Arabidopsis thaliana: one gene and its partners. The protein of the gene in region 3 interacts with the protein of the main gene of each other region in a pairwise test. Each region holds a gene or a part of one and is shown on either strand. Other genes may lie near its edges.

Region 1 (6,253 bases), on a different chromosome or scaffold from region 3:
AAATGTGATATATATTATATCTTTTGGTCTGTGACTGATGTTATTATTGGTTACAGCATGGACACACTAGCAAGAGCAAGATGATGATAGTTCAAGAGACTTCTACTGACCCAACAGCTTCATTTGTGCTTTATGCGCCTGTTGATATGACATCAATGGATATTACTCTCCATGGAGGTGGTGATCCTGACTTTGTGGTGATCCTGCCTTCTGGTTTTGCTATTTTTCCAGATGGTACGGGTAAGCCTGGAGGAAAAGAAGGAGGATCACTTTTGACCATTTCCTTCCAAATGCTGGTTGAGTCAGGTCCTGAGGCTAGGCTGAGTGTTAGCTCTGTTGCAACTACTGAGAATCTGATTCGTACAACCGTGCGGAGGATCAAAGATTTGTTTCCTTGTCAGACTGCTTGAACCACCCCCATTTCGGTAATCTATTGGAGAGCTTCAAAAGGGGAGGAGTCAAGAACGAACCTCAAGGAGATTGGTTTTTTACGAGGTTCGGGATTTGACTAGCCCTGGAATAAACCCATTCAAGATGGAAAAAACAACTATCTTTTCCTTTCATTTGAGTCTTTTGTTTCCTTGTCATTGTTTGGACTTGGAACCTTTTGCTATTTCAGTTGAGTCTTTGGTTTCCTTGTCATTGTTGGACTTGGAACCTTTTGTTATTTCATTCGAGTCTTTGGTTTCCTTGTCATTGTTGGACTTGGAAACCTTTTGTTATTTCAGTTGAGTCTGTTTGTTTCCTTGTCATTGTTGGACATGGAACCTTTCGTTGTTTCAGTTGAGTCTGTTTGTTTCCTTGTCATTGTTGGACTTGGAAACCTTTATGAAGTTATTGAGTACTCTTTTTCTCTATTTGAGTTTCAAATTTGTTTTTTGTTTTCTTTCTATTGACTTTAGATCTTCTTCTAGAGTATGGATATTTCTTTTGTATTGTTTTTGTTGTCTATTTCTGTAGTTTGGTTTATCAAAACTTCACACCTTTTCTTCCCAAGACTCTCTGTTTTGCAAGAGAGCTTAAAGAGTTTTTGGCTGTTGCGCGTTGCCTATGGTTTTAGATTGACCAAACCCAACAAGACTAAGAAATCTGTGCTGAACATGTAGACCTTTTGGGAATGGGAATCACAACGTGTGATTTGTCAAGACCCAACAATGTAGACCTTTTGGTGAAGTGAACTGTAAAATATTTTCAGTTTAACTTCATTTAATTTCAAACAAGAACACAGATGACATGATATTGCTAAAAAAACAGGAAGAATACATCACAAAGGTTCAAAATTTTCTGTTTGAAAAGCCAAATCCACCTATAGCAGAAATTCTCAGAGTCAAAAGATACACTTGCTGATCATCAAGTGTACCTCAAGCACGCTTTCTCCTGGCCAAAATAGCAGGTCTCTTGCCAACAGCTCCACCACTTTTGTTGGATTGAGAAAGAAGACCACGAAGAAGAGCTAGAATACCAACACCCATGAATGGCACATACATCATCAACAATTTCTCAGATGCCTTCCCTGATCCTATCATCTCTCCCAGTATAGCAGCCTAATAAGTAATGAATACTCAATATCAGATTCTTCATCACAAGGCATATTAGCAATGAATGCGGAAAGATTCACATTGCAGAACAATAAGTATAAGTTCGATAACGTTACTAATTCTAATAACCATGAAACTAGTCATTCAACATAGTAGAAACTCAAAATCTCTCTCCCTCATCAACATACAATGTTGTGATTTTAGGGAACCAAATGAAATCTTGAATCAAGCATTATACAAATTTCACTAGTCTGCTCCTAGTTCATACTTTGTAATGGTCCAGTTTCACAGACTTTAACATTGATCACCAATAATCATTTCTCCTATAATCTTCATTAATCTCAGATTTCAGATCCATAAATCAACAAAATCTTACTCTAAATCAAACACGTTATATCCAAATTGATCAGAAACAGCGAGATTAAGATCTAAATGTACCATAGAAGTCACGACGGAAGCTCCGTACACCATTGAGGTGGTACCAAACCACGATTTCCCAGCGAGAATTGCGTAGACGTTGACGATTGAGAGCGGCCAAAGAAGCAAAAGCTCATGCCAGACGAGTCCGACTAGGAAATGCGGCTTCTCTTTGACTAGATAATCTCCAAATTCATCAATGTACCAGCGATTCAGATCGACGATAAACGCCGGGAAGATATCGCCGGGAAGACTCGTTTGACCGTCGATAAGCGGCGCAATTACCGCCATGAGAGCAAAGTATAAGAAGAGAACCGCATCGATCAACTTGCAAAATGCTCCCATTTTTTTTCTTCTTCTCCTTCTTCAATGGATTTTGTTTTTCTCTCTGCTTTAATCTGTCGTTGACCGCGGAAACGAAGAGCCGGCTACTTAATAATTGGCCAAATCTAAATTAAAGCGAACCGGTTTAAACGGCTACCATTTTTCCGGTTTGATTCAGTGGTAAATTCGAACACTACCGGGCCTTAGGCCCATAATCTTCCTCGGAGGATGTATATAGTATCCAGAAAAAATAGTCACCCGAAGGACTACACTAATTAAGAGAGCCCATGATCTGTTACAAAATCTTAAGTTCTAAACATTTGAATAAGTTTCACATCCTCTACATAGTCTAGAAAAATGTGAACTCTACGGTTCTAATAACTTTCGACTCTTGAATTTGCAGATGTTTTATTTTTTATTTTTCAGGGAGTCTAAAGACATGATCATTTCAAAATTCCTTATCTCTCACGCCTTGGAGGAATCATATTCGTAAACACACTTGCAAGTTACAACCTTGCATTGCCTTAAGCAAATTCTTTAGCAAGGTACATTTCTTAGTGTTACGTTTTAGATCTTTTAAAATGTTGAGACTACTTGGTATTGAAACCATGACTCAGTTCACTTGTTCGTCTTGCAAGATGGTAGGGAAATTGTTTTGCATTTTTATCTCTATCTATGTAATAAATCTATGTACCTTTCTAAGTGTAATGTTATATCTGCAGTCATTAAACAAATTGTGTAACTCGTTATTATATATCTCACTGTGGAGTTTCGTGATCTTTCGACTGCGAATTCTCAGCTGAACTTTGGCCATCTTTGAGTTTCTTACTGCTCTTCTCCTTAAGCATCTCCTTAATCTCTGCTTCTCTCTTATCAACAACTTTGATCAAATCCTTGAAACTCACTGCTCTCAAACTTTTCCCTCTAGAAGAACCAGCCTCCTCGCTCCTCGCCTGTACTTCATCACTCTCTTCTGGTCTTAACCGTTGGTATTGCCAGAAAACTTTCCAGCAGAAGAGTGTGAGTGCAATGAACCAAACGACGCCACATATTAGGAAGAGTCCCCAGAAACTCTGTACCGATATTTGATAGTTTTCTGTATCTGAAATCTGCATTGTACATTCGTGGTCGTAGGTAAGCCATTTCTTGCGGATTTTCTCGAGTTTTCCTTCTTCAGCCAGTTGCAGGATCGCTGTCGACATGTCCACAGCTAGAGGAGAGTCTCTCTGGAACGCCTGCAAGAATCGAGATCCATTAAGCAAAGTTTTAACAGAGACTGATCTTAAAAAATTGAAGTTGGTTTTCACATACAAATCCCCAGCCTGTCCGAGTGAATTCCTGTCCAACTGTTCGAAACTTGCAGTTGCTGTTTGACAAGAGAGCTTTAATGTAAGGAAGCTCGTCGACAATGGCTGCCACGCCACCGCCTCTGGGACCACGTTGAAGAGCAGAGAGATATTCTTCTTCGTCTTTAAGCGGAATGATTCTTGATGGAGCTATGTTAAGTTCATTGACCAGAAATTTCCACGCAAAGGTACCATCTTGGACTCCAATGGGTTCGTTGCTTGCTATTAAAGTGTCCATTCCTTCTATCCGAGATGTTAGCTGTTGAACGGTGAGGATTGAAGTGAGACTGGCTGTGTAGCTTGAGTTGATGATTAGAACCACAAATAACCATACGAGTAGCACAAACCTTCCCAACGTGCTCACCGTATTCTCCCCTGAAGATCAACAAAGGAAGAAGAATAAAACACCTTGCGACCTTGGTAACAAAAGAAAAGAACCGAGAGTTTCTTCTCTTTGATGTTTTCGTATGATCTTAAATGTAATTGTGTGCATACTGTGAGAGAAGAACATTGTTGAGAAGCTAAACCTGCAATATTGAAGACGAGAAAGGAAGGGGGTAAAGCAAAGCTTTAGCACTTGAGCTTAAACTAATACATATGAGTTTTGTGTCGATTCAATAATTGTATGGAACTAACCAGAAGACTGTAATGATTTGACGCCTAGGAGGTCCGCGGAATTCTTCGTTAAATCGATGTTCAAGAATCCAGATGACGGCTCCAACAAAGAGAAAAAGGGCACCGGTCACAGCCCACATCTCTATAGTGAATGGCTTCAAGAAGGACCAAGGACTAGACTTGGCCCCCTTCACTGGAGCTACCACCACAAGCCCTGATTCTATAAATGGCTGCGTGAAATCTACAAACTTGGTTCTGTTTGTAATGATGGTAACATCCCCAACAGCTACATCGAAAATCTAGAGACATAAATAGAACAAAACATAAGTATACTGTTTCGTGTAATTGATTGAGTAAAATAGAAGAAGAAGTAGGACTCACATTTGCAGCAACTTCACTTATGAGATTGTCATATGAAGGATTTTTCTTCCCGTCCCCATATAGTATATAAGTACGTGGAACGGGATATGGAAGCAATTGAATCGCAGCTTCAAAGATGTCGATGCAAAAGCCTTTAACACCAAGCGGGTTCTTGTCCTTAGAAGCATAGTTTTTGTAGCTTACACGGTTAGGCACCCCGATTTTCAGCGGCTTTCCATTTTCAGGGAAAACCCAACCCCGAGGTGGCTTTATTACTTCCCCTGGCCATATGATCTCATTAAGACGTTGGTCTTTTGCAGATGTGTTTGAAGGCTTAGAGTATAATGTCTCTGGAGGCGCGACTGAGAAACCTGTATGATTCGACCAGTATCCAACTCTCAGTGGACCTGTACTTTTTATGTTCAGAATGTCGTAGGCTGGATTAATCCGGTTTTTCTCTGAATTAAACTCGATTTGTCCAGTCAGACCTGTATAATTCATCTCAAGAATGACCTGCAAGAACCTCTCCCCTTCATTGAAAATGTGAAGTTTTGATAGCTTAATGCCGCTATCGTTGGTATTCCTCAGACTTGGATCATTAGAGAAAGTCACTGTATTGCCTTGGCTGAAGAAAACATCGAGAGCGCGAGCTACCAACCAAACAGAATCGTAAGCATACAGCGCGTAAGAATTGAAGCCATCATCACTTTTTAGACTCTCCTTGAATCTAAGGTTTTTCCATCTTCCTTTAAACTGTCTCTTGTTGTCACTCTCAGGTGTGTAATGACGAAATGCAACCACTCCTTGCAAGAGATCCAAAGCTCTGGGATCCAACGGTTCCATGGAATCCAAAGCTGTAAGAAGCCAATCAGTAGTGATCCAGACATAGCCACTTCCCATCATTCCAAGAGATTTGGCGACAGAGAATATGTTTAAACCCGAATCAGGATTCACATGAACAACAAAGATGCGAGATTCCATCAGATTAACAGAAGCCAATAAATCACTGATTGAGCTATTATCTGCACCAGGTGGAAATGCAGCCTTGTAAGAGATCTTGGCACGTTTCTTGGCTAAAGCATCACCTAATACAGATATTCCATTCCTACCATACTCATCATCCACAAAGATCGCAACAACTTCTCTCCATCGAAAATAGGATACAAAATCCGTGATTGCATTCATCTGGAAGTAATCATTCTGTGTGGTACGAAGGAAATAAGGGTATTGAAGCGAAGAAAGAGTCGGGTCCGTTGCTGCAAATGACAAGAAAGGTACATGAAGCTCATTAGCTACATGGGAGATTATGTGACCAATTCCTGAAGATTGTGGACCAATGGCTGCAACCACCTTGTTCTCCATTAGCTGCAAAGCTACACCATAAGAAAACATATCACCAATCTACTTCCTCATTCAGAAAAAGCAATCCATGCGCAAAACGAAGATTTTAACAAGAGGTTTATGAACAAGACAAGCTCTGCAATTTGAATAACCTCATTACTATTAAACCCCAGCTTCGTTGGGGCATTTTCACAAGCAACTTTTCAGACATAATTCAAATTGCAGTTTACGAAAAGTACCTCCCATGGTGCCAACAAATCCACTGCAATTAGTGTCCTGGAAGACAATATTAAGCTTGGTGCCCCTGAGGAT
Region 2 (6,483 bases), 4.2 Mb from region 3:
GGTTAACTTAGTTTCTGATTTTACTTGGTTCATCCTTCATGAGTAAAATGAAATTTGGAACTTCCGAATTCTTTAATCTGTTTATTATCTACTACAAGTAATTGAACAATAACCAAACAAACGTGTTTATTCAACAAAAGAGTGACAAAGTAATCAACACAACCAGAGAAAACCGACTGATACTAAACCGGTACAGAGAGATTATTTGTCAACAAAGTTCACTTTAACTCTATTAAAGCATGAGCCATATCAACCAATCTCACGATCTCAATGAAGTTTTTATTCATTTGAATCAAATGAAAGAAAAACAAGAAGCAAGTGTGATGTGATGTGATCTAAGAAGTGGGCTTCTCGTAAGAGTTTTGATCTCTAAAATCAGAAATGGCGCTGCGGATCATCTGCTCTACATGTGGTTGCACGAACAAGTGAGTACTATCAAGTACATGAATTATGAATTTCTGAGACGGAGGCATCGAATTGTTCATGTTCACTATGAATTGTGTCATCGGAATATCGCTGCAAACAAACAAAAGATACAAAGAAACAATGAATGATTCAATTGTGTTCATCAAGATTTGCTTAGGAATCGTAACAACGGTAAGAAGTACCAAGAGACGAACACTCCTTTGATTGCATTAACCATAAGTAAAACCTGTAATACAAAACACGAATAATCTGAGCTCAATTTTCATCAAAAGATGACCCAAGAACATCCTCGATAACTCAGAACATAGATGAATGAAAGATTAATCCTTTGTTTCAATTCAAGGACCCCAAATTACTAGATGCAACGATTACATAACTGGGGTTTCGCTACCTAAACACCACAACATAAACTCGATTCCCAAATCTTAAGACTTTAACGATTACAGACCAAATAGAAATAGGATGAAACCAGATCAATTTGGTCTAGAGATCAACCACACACCTGTGAAACCACACGAAGAAGATTGGAGGAATCAATCAAGAGGGTAAGCGATGTTTGAGGCAGAGAAAGAAATCACCTTGATAACGACGATTATTGTCACAGTAAAGGAGAGAAGGATTAGCTTTATAAGATAACCTAATTACAAAACTGAAACAGAAGGTTCGGATCATCTTTTAAGTTATCGTTTATTACATCACTCAAAAGGGTTTCTCACTTTTAAAAGTCAAAGTTCACATGAATTAACTTTTTTTCTTCTTATATTTGAAATTATTCAGTTTCATTGTTACTGTAACCAGTAGTTTACGAGCTTGATTGCTTGTACAAATAATGATCAAGACATAAAAAAAACAGTTAATCTGAACATGTTTCTAAGAAAGAAATAAATACACAAATCTTCCTGCCACTAATCTTACAAACATCACAAAGCAAACACTTTTCCTTGCTTTTTTTCATGTCCACAAGCATGTCGCTGTATCTTTAAGCGTAGTGTCAATAAACCGAAGAAGATGGACCATGTCTTCTTCATTAGTCAGTCCTCGTAATCATCCAGCGCCGAATAAATCATCCTACGAAAAAAAGTTGCAAACAGAAAGTGTTTTAGCTCTCTTGATCTACTTATGGTTAAGCAATAATGGGATTCGAAATATCTTTCTCGTTACCAGAAGATAGTGAGAAAGAGGTTAAGGACAATGTAAGCAAGCTTGAACAGCCGTTTCTTCTTTTCCCAGTTAAGCAAATTGAAGATCTCGGTGACATCTACTAAGTGTTGTCGCTTCGAGTAACTGAACAACGGAGAAACCGAAAGGATATCAATACCACAACATTTGATTGGAGCAAAAGATTGAGATTAGTTGGACTTACAGATGGAAGTTGTAGTATAGATAGGGGAGACATAAGAGTGTCATGAACCAGTGTCCTGTTAGGAGGTAGAATACGCATAGAACTCCTTGAACAATGAACTCCGGTAAAACCACTGAGTTTATTCTCGACGCAGAGTCGTAAGGGTTGATGTAATCAAACTCGAGATCCGCTAAGCAAACAAGCTGCAAATGAAAGAATTCAAATTCAGAAAAGAGAAGTTAGCTTCCTAGAAAATGTCTTCCCAAGCTGTTTATACATGGAAGATTCCGTTTGCTAGCTTATCAGTCTCAGTGACTCCTCTCATTAGAGTCTACACAAACAAAACTAAAGGGTTCACTTCATTATGCCGAAATGGAGCTCATTTATAAAAGAACAACCTGTGCTTAAGGAGGTAAATCCTCAGACCTGACATGAACATCCAACATAAGAACTAACTATGAACCTATAAAAGTGTTTTGAGAAGCCAATACGCACTATATATGTTCCTGAATTTACTCCTTTGATGATAACATTCCCAAAAATTACACCTTTACTTCTTCCAAACATGTGACAAGAACATAAAACCCTAATTCTAGCTAAATCACAGACTACCCAGAAACAAAAAAAAGGCTCCAAATGAATCAAAATGGACAAATATGGTATCATTATAACCGTAAGCGAAAAAATTGGCAAATTCCGATAGAAAAGTTAAGAACTTTGGGTTTATTTATCCTAGAAATTGGGAATCGCACCTGATAGACGATGATTCCGACAAGAGCGATGAGGAAGAAGAAGGAAATAAGCCATGTCCAGATATCTCCCATCTTCCTCCTTTTGGTTCCGACAATTTCCTCGGATCTATCCTCGTTGTTTCTTGGTCTTCTCTCTCTCTCTCTCTCCTCCCAATAATGTTCGATGAGGAACAGAGAGAAAGTTAGGACAACGACTTAGTGGTCGGCTAGTTTTGACAGTTGAGCTCGAGATTCTGATCGGAAACAAAGAAGCCTAGAGAAGGCAGGCACGAGACTCAGCTTCCGGTTCAGTTTCCGGTTAAAATCGAATTCGTTATTTCCCGAAGTACGTACCATTTACGCCGGTTTAATATTTCAGTATTATGAATCTATGATTTATAAGCCATTGGGCCTCTATAGATTTAGCCCAATTAAATAGTAAACAGTTTGGGTTTGGGCACGAGAGCCGTGTAATTTTTGTTGAGTCGTGTATAATTTTTTTTAGGTCATTGTCTTATTGTATAGTTTTAAGGAAATCAAAAATGAAAAATTAAAAACAAAAATGGTACCAGAAACCATTCAATCATGTGATTGAGAAAAGCCAGCTGTTTTCTAGTACGAAGAAAAACAAGCTTCATCTTTTCCATGTATTTTTCTTTCTTTCTTTTCTCAAGAACGGTGAATCCATAACTTATAATTGCAAGGATTAAGAGATTGAGATTATGAAGGATAGCATTTTGGAATTGTAATATGGTTTAGCTTAGTCGGATTTTCCTCACTAATTATAGATTCTGGCCTCTCTAGTGTGGTTCAATTAAGTTGTAAAATAAAGAAGCTATGTTAGTAACTAAATCCATCCAAGTTCAATAATCAAATAATTACTATCGCTATCAATGTAAAAGGTGGCATTATTTTTATTTCAACTATTATTATTTCTTACATGGTATATATATATTTATTTCGGGTATAACACGATATAGTGGAGTGGTTGGGAAAAGAAGTTCTCGTACAAGATTGTAAATCAAGCAATTTACGTTTGATACAGTAATAATCAATATCAGTATTTTTTTAACTGAAAGGATTGGCTCTTCGTTTTCACTAACTGGAAAATGAAGATTCAAATTTATAACATACCTATTTTCTGTCAACAGTTACTTATTTTTAGTTAATATATGCATTTAGGGACCAATCTTGAAATCTCATTCCACGTATGAAAAGTATCATGCAAAAAAGTATATATCAATTCTAAACATTTTATTTTCAAATTTCATTCACAAAATCAGCATTATTTTATTTAAGTGGAGATTAACGTAAGAAGTTACTTTGATATATTGTTACATTGTTTACATTGTAGACACCTTAAGTTAATAAAACGTATGACAAAGTGATGTTATTAATAGTTCTCATCACTATATTGCAAACGTCGTTTATCAAAAAATAAAATTAGAGGGCATAATCCATGGTTTTTGGGTGGTTGGTATGTAACAGACAAGATCATTCTTATAGATAGTACTATCCATCTTTTTAAGATAGGACTGCTCTAAATTATGTGGTAAGAAATTAATTTTCTGCCTTTTTATTATATAGATACAGTTATGGGTGGATTTTGTATATTAGACTTTAGAATTCATTGATCATTCATACATATAAGCATGCATACATGATACTTCTACATTAGAAGGTGGGAGACAGTTGTGACATGGATTTTATGACATTAGATATTGACCAATTAAAACTTGACTCCTACTAACCTCCACTTATAACTTTAATTATACGTTTTACTAAGAGAGATTTACAAGTTCAAGTTCAAGACACTTTTTGCATTGGAATAAGAGTAGAAAATCAAGGGTAAAATATAGAAAGACTTATGTGTGTGTGTGTGTATGTGTGTGTGTGACACATAAGAAATAGTCTTTGTTGTGGTTAATTAGCTGGAATAGTTGATCAAGAAAATGTGTTTTTAATATTCATTAGTATGAGTTTGTTCGCATTGATATGGTTTTATAGGTTGTATTAAATTATTCATAGATCAACGACATACTAAAGTAAAATTCTAAGTTTTTGGCTATGAGTGAAAAGCATGTGTACTTTGTTGGACTGCTACAGATTGGTTGGTATTTAGCTAAATGTGTCCATTGGCCAGTAATTTTATTTAGGTAAATATTGGTCCTCAGTCATAATTTTATTTAGTGTGTGTTCATGTTTTTTTGGGTTTTTACTTTTAACTAAAAAGAGGTAGAAGTTGTGAAGAGTACAAAGGATGTTGTTATTCATGAATCATGACTTCAAACTTCTAACGACGGCCAAGACACACATGATTCATGAACATTCATACAAAGCAAATGAAAGCAAAATTGCTATTGAGATTAACAAAAAGTAAAAAAATGGTTGGAATTAGTAGGAACCAAAAGTGTCGGTAAAAAAATGGAAGTTGTAAAAGGTTGCAGTCAAAAATAAACAACTTTCAACACAAACCAAAAAAAAATATTTACAAAGAAATGTACTTTATGAGTCAACAGAAAATGGTCAACACAACACAGTCTCTGCGTTAATGTCTTTCATTGTCTATCTAGAAACAAAAATTAAATTCTCACTCTACCCTTTTATGCCCAAATTCTGAACTCATCCCACGTAGACAATAGGACACAAATGGAAATCCCACTCACCCATTTTTTTCATTTTTGTAATCAAATCCAAAAAAAATGTTCAAAAAGTGTCTTCAACGTTCACATAATCTCTAACTAAATTCACAATAAGGATTCTATAAACCGAATTAATCATTTAGATTTTTTTAAAAACTCAGCCTATGTTAATAATTCTTTTTTTACCAAAACTTAGAGCCTTCAAAATTCTCAAGATCCCAATTTTGTTTTTTTATCCGTTCAACTGAAGTTACGAAAGTACATTACCATTGGTGGTTGAAACTGTATAGCACAAGAAAAACATTTATAAAGATTAAGAAGAGAAAAAATCTAAATAAAATGCATTAAATTAAGGTCCCAAATAGTTCCAATTTTTTTTTCTTTTAAATATTAAAGTAGGAGACAAGAAAAGAGATTTTCGAAAGAAAAAAAGAAACAAAAGTTGAAAGAAAAAAAACACACATAACAAAAACAATCCCCCAAAACCAACTTAAAGCGCGTGACTAAAACGCTCCAATGATGAGAAAGCGAGATAGACTACGAGCCAATGTAACGTTTGTGTTCTCGTACGACGTGGGACTCTCTTCTTTCACCTCCATGCGCGTGTGCTTCAACCTCCTCTGTAACTCTCTCTCTTTCTTCCATATTTCTCTCCTCTTCTTCTCCGCTCTGTCTCTTTCTTCGAAAAAACCATTCACAGTCAAGAACAAGAGCTCACTAGAAAGAAAAAAAACTAAAGAAGTGAGTAAAAATTTCATTTCTTCTGATCGCCGGAAAATGGCAGCGACGTTAAAGATCGTCGTCTTCCGGCGAAATCCTACTGCTGAAGAATGTCACACGTAAAATCCAACTCTCGCTTAAAACCCTTTTAGCAAGAGCCTCGAAATTTCCGATTTAGAAACTTTTTTTCTTTCTTGATGGCGACGACTAACGCTCACACGGCGACTCAACAGACACCACCACCACCACCTCCTCCTCCTCCAGCTCCTGCTCCTCCGGCGATGGATGGGTTAACAACAGACGAGCTAACAGCAAAAGCATTAAACAAGAGATACGAAGGTTTAATGACGGTGAGAACAAAAGCAGTGAAAGGTAAAGGCGCGTGGTATTGGACTCATCTTGAACCAATCCTCGTACGCAACACCGACACTGGTCTCCCTAAAGCCGTGAAGCTTCGTTGTTCTTTATGCGACGCCGTTTTCTCCGCCTCTAATCCTTCACGCACTGCCTCTGAGCATCTCAAACGCGGCACGTGTCCTAATTTCAACTCTGTTACTCCCATTTCCACCATCACTCCTTCTCCTACCTCTTCCTCTTCCTCTCCTCAAACTCATCACCGGAA
Region 3 (8,292 bases):
TAAATCAACTCATATACCCGTTATTCCCACAATCATATGCTTTCTAAAAGCAAAAGTATATGTCAACAATTGGTTATAAATTATTAGAAGTTTTCCACTTATGACTTAAGAACTTGTGAAGCAGAAAGTGGCAACACCCCCCACCTCCCCCCCCCCCCCCCACCCCCCAAATTGAGAAGTCAATTTTATATAATTTAATCAAATAAATAAGTTTATGGTTAAGAGTTTTTTACTCTCTTTATTTTTCTTTTTCTTTTTGAGACATACTGAAAAAAGTTGTAATTATTAATGATAGTTCTGTGATTCCTCCATGAATCACATCTGCTTGATTTTTCTTTCATAAATTTATAAGTAATACATTCTTATAAAATGGTCAGAGAAACACCAAAGATCCCGAGATTTCTTCTCACTTACTTTTTTTCTATCTATCTAGATTATATAAATGAGATGTTGAATTAGAGGAACCTTTGATTCAATGATCATAGAAAAATTAGGTAAAGAGTCAGTGTCGTTATGTTATGGAAGATGTGAATGAAGTTTGACTTCTCATTGTATATGAGTAAAATCTTTTCTTACAAGGGAAGTCCCCAATTGGTCAACATGTGAAAGCACGTGTCATGTTCTTACTTTTGTTTGGGTAATCTTCTAATTACTGTATATGGAAGATGTGAATGAAGTTTTGGTCCTGAATGTGGCCAAGGTTCCGTCATTTGGAGATACGAAATCAAATCTCCTTTAAGATTTTGTTTTTATAATGTGTTCTTCCATCCACATCTATCTCCATATGATATGGACCATATCATACATCATCATTTGTCCAAATGCATGAATGAATTTGGAAATAGGTACGAGAATGCCAACAATGACAAGAAGGGATCAAAGACAGTTTTTAAAACAATATTTTACAGGGTTTTAATCTAATTCTAAGTTTTGGTCACTCACTTTGTTAAAAGAATAATTCAGTGTCTGGACACTAAAATCTTCCAAAAACCCCATATACATATATGCTATTTCGATACTTATATTTATTTACTCAGCATAAAAAATATTAACCATGTATTCATAGTAAAATGTTTCATGTGATATCAAACCAGCGACAACAAAAGTATTATTCCCCTCATTATGTTTGACTCCTATTATATTTTTATTTTAATTTTTTTCACTATCATCTTTCTTGCAATGAAAGTCCCATATATTGGTCAACATTTCAAACCACTTGTTCTCTTTTATGTTTTGGTAAGAGCTATCTTCTAAATTTATAATACGCATAAATTCAAAAGTAAAAGAAAATTTTGGTCATGAATGTTGTTTAAGTCATTTGGAGATACGAAATCAAATCTCCTTGTAGATTTTGTTTTTAGAATGTCGTTCCTTTTTCATCATCTTAGCTATATCTACAGCTATATATCCTATCTTTAAACCTATATTATTTTTTCCTCTCTTCACCAAAGCCATGTTTTTTAGTTGTGGCGAAAAATAAGAAATCCATACATCAACATATCGCTTTCGTTACCTTAAATTTTGGCTTGTTATGAAGGCATGTCATAACGTTTCTAGTCACAACTCACAAGCATACCAACGACCATGATAAATCCAAAAAGTAGAAACAATCTATTATCTAAACCCCCAAAAGACAAAAGAAAAAAGTAGAAAGAAAAGGTAGGCAGAGATATAATGCTGGTTTTATTTGTTTGTTAAAAGATATTGCTATTTCTGCCAATATTAAAACTTCACTTAGGAAGACTTGAACCTACCACACGTTAGTGACTAATGAGAGCCACTAGATAATTGCATGCATCCCACACTAGTACTAATTTTCTAGGGATATTAGAGTTTTCTAATCACCTACTTCCTACTATGTGTATGTTATCTACTGGCGTGGATGCTTTTAAAGATGTTACGTTATTATTTTGTTCGGTTTGGAAAACGGCTCAATCGTTATGAGTTCGTAAGACACATACATTGTTCCATGATAAAATGCAACCCCACGAACCATTTGCGACAAGCAAAACAACATGGTCAAAATTAAAAGCTAACAATTAGCCAGCGATTCAAAAAGTCAACCTTCTAGATGGATTTAACAACATATCGATAGGATTCAAGATTAAAAATAAGCACACTCTTATTAATGTTAAAAAACGAATGAGATGAAAATATTTGGCGTGTTCACACACATAATCTAGAAGACAGATTCGAGTTGCTCTCCTTTGTTTTGCTTTGGGAGGGACCCATTATTACCGCCCAGCAGCTTCCCAGCCTTCCTTTATAAGGCTTAATTTATATTTATTTAAATTTTATATGTTCTTCTATTATAATACTAAAAGGGGAATACAAATTTCTACAGAGGATGATATTCAATCCACGGTTCACCCAAACCGATTTTATAAAATTTATTATTAAATCTTTTTTAATTGTTAAATTGGTTTAAATCTGAACTCTGTTTACTTACATTGATTAAAATTCTAAACCATCATAAGTAAAAAATAATATGATTAAGACTAATAAATCTTAATAGTTAATACTACTCGGTTTACTACATGAAATTTCATACCATCAATTGTTTTAATAATCTTTAAAATTGTTAGGACCGGTAAAACCATACCAATTAAACCGGAGATCCATATTAATTTAATTAAGAAAATAAAAATAAAAGGAATAAATTGTCTTATTTAAACGCTGACTTCACTGTCTTCCTCCCTCCAAATTATTAGATATACCAAACCAGAGAAAACAAATACATAATCGGAGAAATACAGATTACAGAGAGCGAGAGAGATCGACGGCGAAGCTCTTTACCCGGAAACCATTGAAATCGGACGGTTTAGTGAAAATGGAGGATCAAGTTGGGTTTGGGTTCCGTCCGAACGACGAGGAGCTCGTTGGTCACTATCTCCGTAACAAAATCGAAGGAAACACTAGCCGCGACGTTGAAGTAGCCATCAGCGAGGTCAACATCTGTAGCTACGATCCTTGGAACTTGCGCTGTAAGTTCCGAATTTTCTGAATTTCATTTGCAAGTAATCGATTTAGGTTTTTGATTTTAGGGTTTTTTTTTGTTTTGAACAGTCCAGTCAAAGTACAAATCGAGAGATGCTATGTGGTACTTCTTCTCTCGTAGAGAAAACAACAAAGGGAATCGACAGAGCAGGACAACGGTTTCTGGTAAATGGAAGCTTACCGGAGAATCTGTTGAGGTCAAGGACCAGTGGGGATTTTGTAGTGAGGGCTTTCGTGGTAAGATTGGTCATAAAAGGGTTTTGGTGTTCCTCGATGGAAGATACCCTGACAAAACCAAATCTGATTGGGTTATCCACGAGTTCCACTACGACCTCTTACCAGAACATCAGGTTTTCTTCTATTCATATATATATATATATATATATGTGGATATATATATATGTGGTTTCTGCTGATTCATAGTTAGAATTTGAGTTATGCAAATTAGAAACTATGTAATGTAACTCTATTTAGGTTCAGCAGCTATTTTAGGCTTAGCTTACTCTCACCAATGTTTTATACTGATGAACTTATGTGCTTACCTCCGGAAATTTTACAGAGGACATATGTCATCTGCAGACTTGAGTACAAGGGTGATGATGCGGACATTCTATCTGCTTATGCAATAGATCCCACTCCCGCTTTTGTCCCCAATATGACTAGTAGTGCAGGTTCTGTGGTGAGTCTTTCTCCATATACACTTAGCTTTGAGTAGGCAGATCAAAAAAGAGCTTGTGTCTACTGATTTGATGTTTTCCTAAACTGTTGATTCGTTTCAGGTCAACCAATCACGTCAACGAAATTCAGGATCTTACAACACTTACTCTGAGTATGATTCAGCAAATCATGGCCAGCAGTTTAATGAAAACTCTAACATTATGCAGCAGCAACCACTTCAAGGATCATTCAACCCTCTCCTTGAGTATGATTTTGCAAATCACGGCGGTCAGTGGCTGAGTGACTATATCGACCTGCAACAGCAAGTTCCTTACTTGGCACCTTATGAAAATGAGTCGGAGATGATTTGGAAGCATGTGATTGAAGAAAATTTTGAGTTTTTGGTAGATGAAAGGACATCTATGCAACAGCATTACAGTGATCACCGGCCCAAAAAACCTGTGTCTGGGGTTTTGCCTGATGATAGCAGTGATACTGAAACTGGATCAATGGTAAGCTTTTTTTACTCATATATAATCACAACCTATATCGCTTCTATATCTCACACGCTGAATTTTGGCTTTTAACAGATTTTCGAAGACACTTCGAGCTCCACTGATAGTGTTGGTAGTTCAGATGAACCGGGCCATACTCGTATAGATGATATTCCATCATTGAACATTATTGAGCCTTTGCACAATTATAAGGCACAAGAGCAACCAAAGCAGCAGAGCAAAGAAAAGGTTTAACACTCTCACTGAGAAACATGACTTTGATACGAAATCTGAATCAACATTTCATCAAAAAGATTTAGTCAAATGACCTCTAAATTATGAGCTATGGGTCTGCTTTCAGGTGATAAGTTCGCAGAAAAGCGAATGCGAGTGGAAAATGGCTGAAGACTCGATCAAGATACCTCCATCCACCAACACGGTGAAGCAGAGCTGGATTGTTTTGGAGAATGCACAGTGGAACTATCTCAAGAACATGATCATTGGTGTCTTGTTGTTCATCTCCGTCATTAGTTGGATCATTCTTGTTGGTTAAGAGGTCAAATCGGATTCTTGCTCAAAATTTGTATTTCTTAGAATGTGTGTTTTTTTTTGTTTTTTTTTCTTTGCTCTGTTTTCTCGCTCCGGAAAAGTTTGAAGTTATATTTTATTAGTATGTAAAGAAGAGAAAAAGGGGGAAAGAAGAGAGAAGAAAAATGCAGAAAATCATATATATGAATTGGAAAAAAGTATATGTAATAATAATTAGTGCATCGTTTTGTGGTGTAGTTTATATAAATAAAGTGATATATAGTCTTGTATAAGAAAGGGATTTTACATGAGACCCAAATATGAGTAAAGGGTGTTGGCTCAAAGATTCATTTAGCAACCAAAGTTGCATTTGCAAGGAAATGAAAAGGTGTTAACAATGTCACTGCGTAACATGACTTCGATACAAAATCTCAAACAATACATCTTCAACTGTGGATTATGATGGACTTGGGGTTGCAGGTGATATGTCTATAGAAAAACGGGTGGGAATGGAAAATGGCTGAAGAAGAAAGCTCCAACTAAGCATCATAACTGGATTGTTTTAGAGGAGATGAGTCAAAGGAATTCACAGTGGAACTATCTCAAGAACATGATCATTGGCTTCTTATTGTTCATCTCCATCATTGGCTGGATCATTCTGGTTCAAGAGGTCAAATTATATATACATAACGGATCTAAGAAGTATAGTGTAGTCAATTAAAACAAAACGAGACTTGAAAATAAGCATAAGTATTATTAAGTTAACCCAATATTCGTTTCAATGCTTTAGTTATCATCAGAATTCTCAACATTTTCAGATATTTAACTTGCCTTTGGTTGCTTTCTCGCCATGGTAGTAGCATTCTCCGGATAAGAATCAAGGGGAGCCTCAACTTCGGCTTCAACCGTCTCCTCGTCTTTCCTATGACATTCACTTGGTGTTGCAACAATGTGTTGATGCCCCACATTCATAGGAGAGTCCCACATATCTCCAACATTCATAGGAGGGTTCCACATATGCCCACCATTCCAAGGAGGGTACCACCACATATGCCCAGCATTCCAAGAAAGATGGAGCGACGATATCGTGAGGAACAAGGTTTTTGTAGGGCAAATAATTGTAGGTGGTTGAGTTATATCCGCCCGCACAGAGTAACAGACCAACAATTAACTTTTGATATTTTAGTAAGGTCTAATTCAATTTTTGGTGGCGATAATATTTGGCTTAGTCATAAAATACAGTATGGTATAATAATGTAAAGGTTTCTCTTATCTTCAAACCAAAAGACTATACTGGAAGCTGATGGGATCATACGATTCTGAAAAAATAAGACATATATTGCAACAGAGATCCAATTTGTATCAAAAATATTGTCGGCTCAAAAATCTGACCCACCAAGAATCTAATCAAGTGCGCGATTAAGCATACGGCTATGCATCTGGTCATTGTTGATTCAGTCATCACTGGTTTAAAGACAAACTTGCATTGTGAGATTCCAAAATAACAACAACAAAAAACAATTTGCATTGAGAACATTTTGAAGGTCTGACCTTTAAGAGCCATGGAGTTTGATGTTAAGAGAAGTATATCGACAAAAAAAATCACTGACATTGGGAATTCCCATACCTGTAATAACAAAGATTCTCTATTTTTGAGCAAAGAGACATAACACCATGTTTAATCAATACAAGAAACTTTAGTGCATGATTTATGGAATGCTTAAGAAGTTTGGAACTTCAATATTAGGAATTAAGTGAGAGGTAAAGCTACAACATACCAACATCGCAAGCAGAAATATCTTGAAGTAACTAGAGATGAATATCCCCAACATAATCTCTCTTCTTCTGCAAAGTTTTTAAAAAAAATTATACATAAACAATCTTCAGGTGACAGAAGTCTGAGATCTTTGATGAAAAACTCATAATAAGAACTAAGAAGAAGAAGAATCAGTAATCACCTGGAAACTTCATTTAGCAAACCCTTAGTCGCAATGGCAAAAGAGATGATAAATGCAGCGTTTGCAGATAAGACACCAATCAGAACCTGTTTCAAATGCGAAATTATTACCCTTTCTAAACAATCTCAATGACTTAAATCATTTAAACCTTAAAGGAAAAAAAATCTAATTAAGTCCATTAAAAAGAAACGATCTAACCTTTATAGATAGAAGAACAGGGCTATCAGAAAAGCTCGATTCTTCATCACTTTTTCTCAGTAGCAAGCTTCTATCTATGATGAGTTCAGGGCTTTTCAAATAAGTTTGCCGATGAATCTCACCAACTACACATCTGCTAGCTACACTTTGATAGTAAAAGATTATAAAACAAAAGGATACAACAGTCTAGAAGAAGATAGGCGAAGACCAACTTCCACAACAGATGCTGCACACACACACACAAAAAAAAAAAAAGAACCCAACAATTCTTATTGGATCAGAGACTACTCAATATCCCCAAACTTGGAAATTAGTTTGTTGCTTGAGGTCTAAGATACTTCTATATATGGAAAAAGATTTTCAAAGCCAGATATTTCCACAAGTTTGTAATATCAATTCAAGATAAGAGAGCTAGAATCAGACAGGAACTAGCAATGCTTGAAATCAAGAACTTGAATTGAAATAGTTTTTTACCTGAATATTGACAGTTGCTGGATTAATTGCATTGTAGAGGACGTGTCTATATACCTTTGGTCTGTGAAGGATTAAATCGATGAAAATAATCTGCCAAAGAAAACAATTAAAGAACCAAAAACCAAAATTGGAAAGAAATAGGGAAACACCCAAAAAGGGAAAGAAAGTGATTAAAACAGACCATGCGTTCACACTCGATGTACTCATCTGCTACTTCCTTGCAATTTCCCTAAATATAACAATATGATCAAAGATGGAAACTTTGAAGAAATTTAATAGAGAATCTTATAAACCCTAATTGGGTCAAAGAAGATCCATTAATACAAAAATCTTACGCATTTCATGAGACGAATGTTACCCGGAGAGTATTGAATGAACAATGACTTTACCCTAAAACCACATCCCACGCATCTGTGTTCACTCGCCGCCATTGCTCTCTCTCTCTCTCTCTCTCTCTCTCTCTCAAGAGAAGAAGAATACGGAGCAATTAGAGTCCGGGTCTGGGCTACTGTTTTAACCCTAAATGGGCTTATTCATGGGCCAAGTTTTTGAAGTCTTAACTTTAAATTTGTTAGGCCCACTTTTGCTCTAAGCCGGGGTATTTGTACCCCAAAATTTAAAAATCATATACACGTTGTAATTTATAAATAGTTCAATTTGGATCAAAATCTTGTCCATATGACATAGCATTTTAAAATGCGTAGGTTCATGAATGAAACATATTATAGGCCTCAGATAAAGATATACATATTAAGTCTAAATTATTTAGTCTTCAGAATTTACCACACTTACTGAAAAGTCTAGTGGTTCACTAATATTATTACTGTCGTGTTACTTTCTATATATAGTTCATGACTTGTGAGTTGTGATGGATAAGTTTATAAGAAAATAAATTATTTATTACAATTCAACAGTGAAGAAATTTATTTAGTTTGATTAAATAAGAAAGGTAAATAAATCTTCGTTTGCCACACCAAACAAAAAAA

What was found. Proteins that work in one complex are often made in the same cells at the same time.
Region 1: the proteins of NAC001 (region 3) and AT2G32380 interact in a two-hybrid assay, tested with the Arabidopsis thaliana proteins (one large-scale study listed by BioGRID).
Region 2: the proteins of NAC001 (region 3) and AT1G12390 interact in a two-hybrid assay, tested with the Arabidopsis thaliana proteins (one large-scale study listed by BioGRID).

The regions. Positions count from the first base shown.
Region 1 is NC_003071.7:13,745,431-13,751,683, forward strand, and holds AT2G32380 (Transmembrane protein 97, Putative), read right to left. Parts: upstream 2,381-6,253; 5' UTR 2,301-2,380; coding exon 1,977-2,300; intron 1,545-1,976; coding exon 1,362-1,544; 3' UTR 1,136-1,361; downstream 1-1,135. Other genes in the region: HDG3 (homeodomain GLABROUS 3), read left to right, coding at 57-410; GLR3.5 (glutamate receptor 3.5), read right to left, coding at 3,038-3,514, 3,591-4,000, 4,121-4,152, 4,262-4,539, 4,622-5,973, 6,181-6,253.
Region 2 is NC_003070.9:4,216,456-4,222,938, reverse strand, and holds AT1G12390 (Cornichon family protein), read right to left. Parts: upstream 2,896-6,483; 5' UTR 2,593-2,895; coding exon 2,521-2,592; intron 1,972-2,520; coding exon 1,790-1,971; intron 1,711-1,789; coding exon 1,588-1,710; intron 1,495-1,587; coding exon 1,458-1,494; 3' UTR 1,136-1,457; downstream 1-1,135. Other genes in the region: AT1G12400 (Nucleotide excision repair, TFIIH, subunit TTDA), read right to left, coding at 336-569; AT1G12380 (uncharacterized protein), read left to right, coding at 6,059-6,483.
Region 3 is NC_003070.9:930-9,221, forward strand, and holds NAC001 (NAC domain containing protein 1), read left to right. Parts: upstream 1-2,701; 5' UTR 2,702-2,830; coding exon 2,831-2,984; intron 2,985-3,066; coding exon 3,067-3,347; intron 3,348-3,556; coding exon 3,557-3,676; intron 3,677-3,776; coding exon 3,777-4,166; intron 4,167-4,244; coding exon 4,245-4,397; intron 4,398-4,509; coding exon 4,510-4,701; 3' UTR 4,702-4,970; downstream 4,971-8,292. Other genes in the region: ARV1 family protein, read right to left, coding at 5,986-6,140, 6,228-6,303, 6,455-6,521, 6,635-6,720, 6,833-6,906, 7,013-7,058, 7,307-7,396, 7,488-7,535 and 1 more.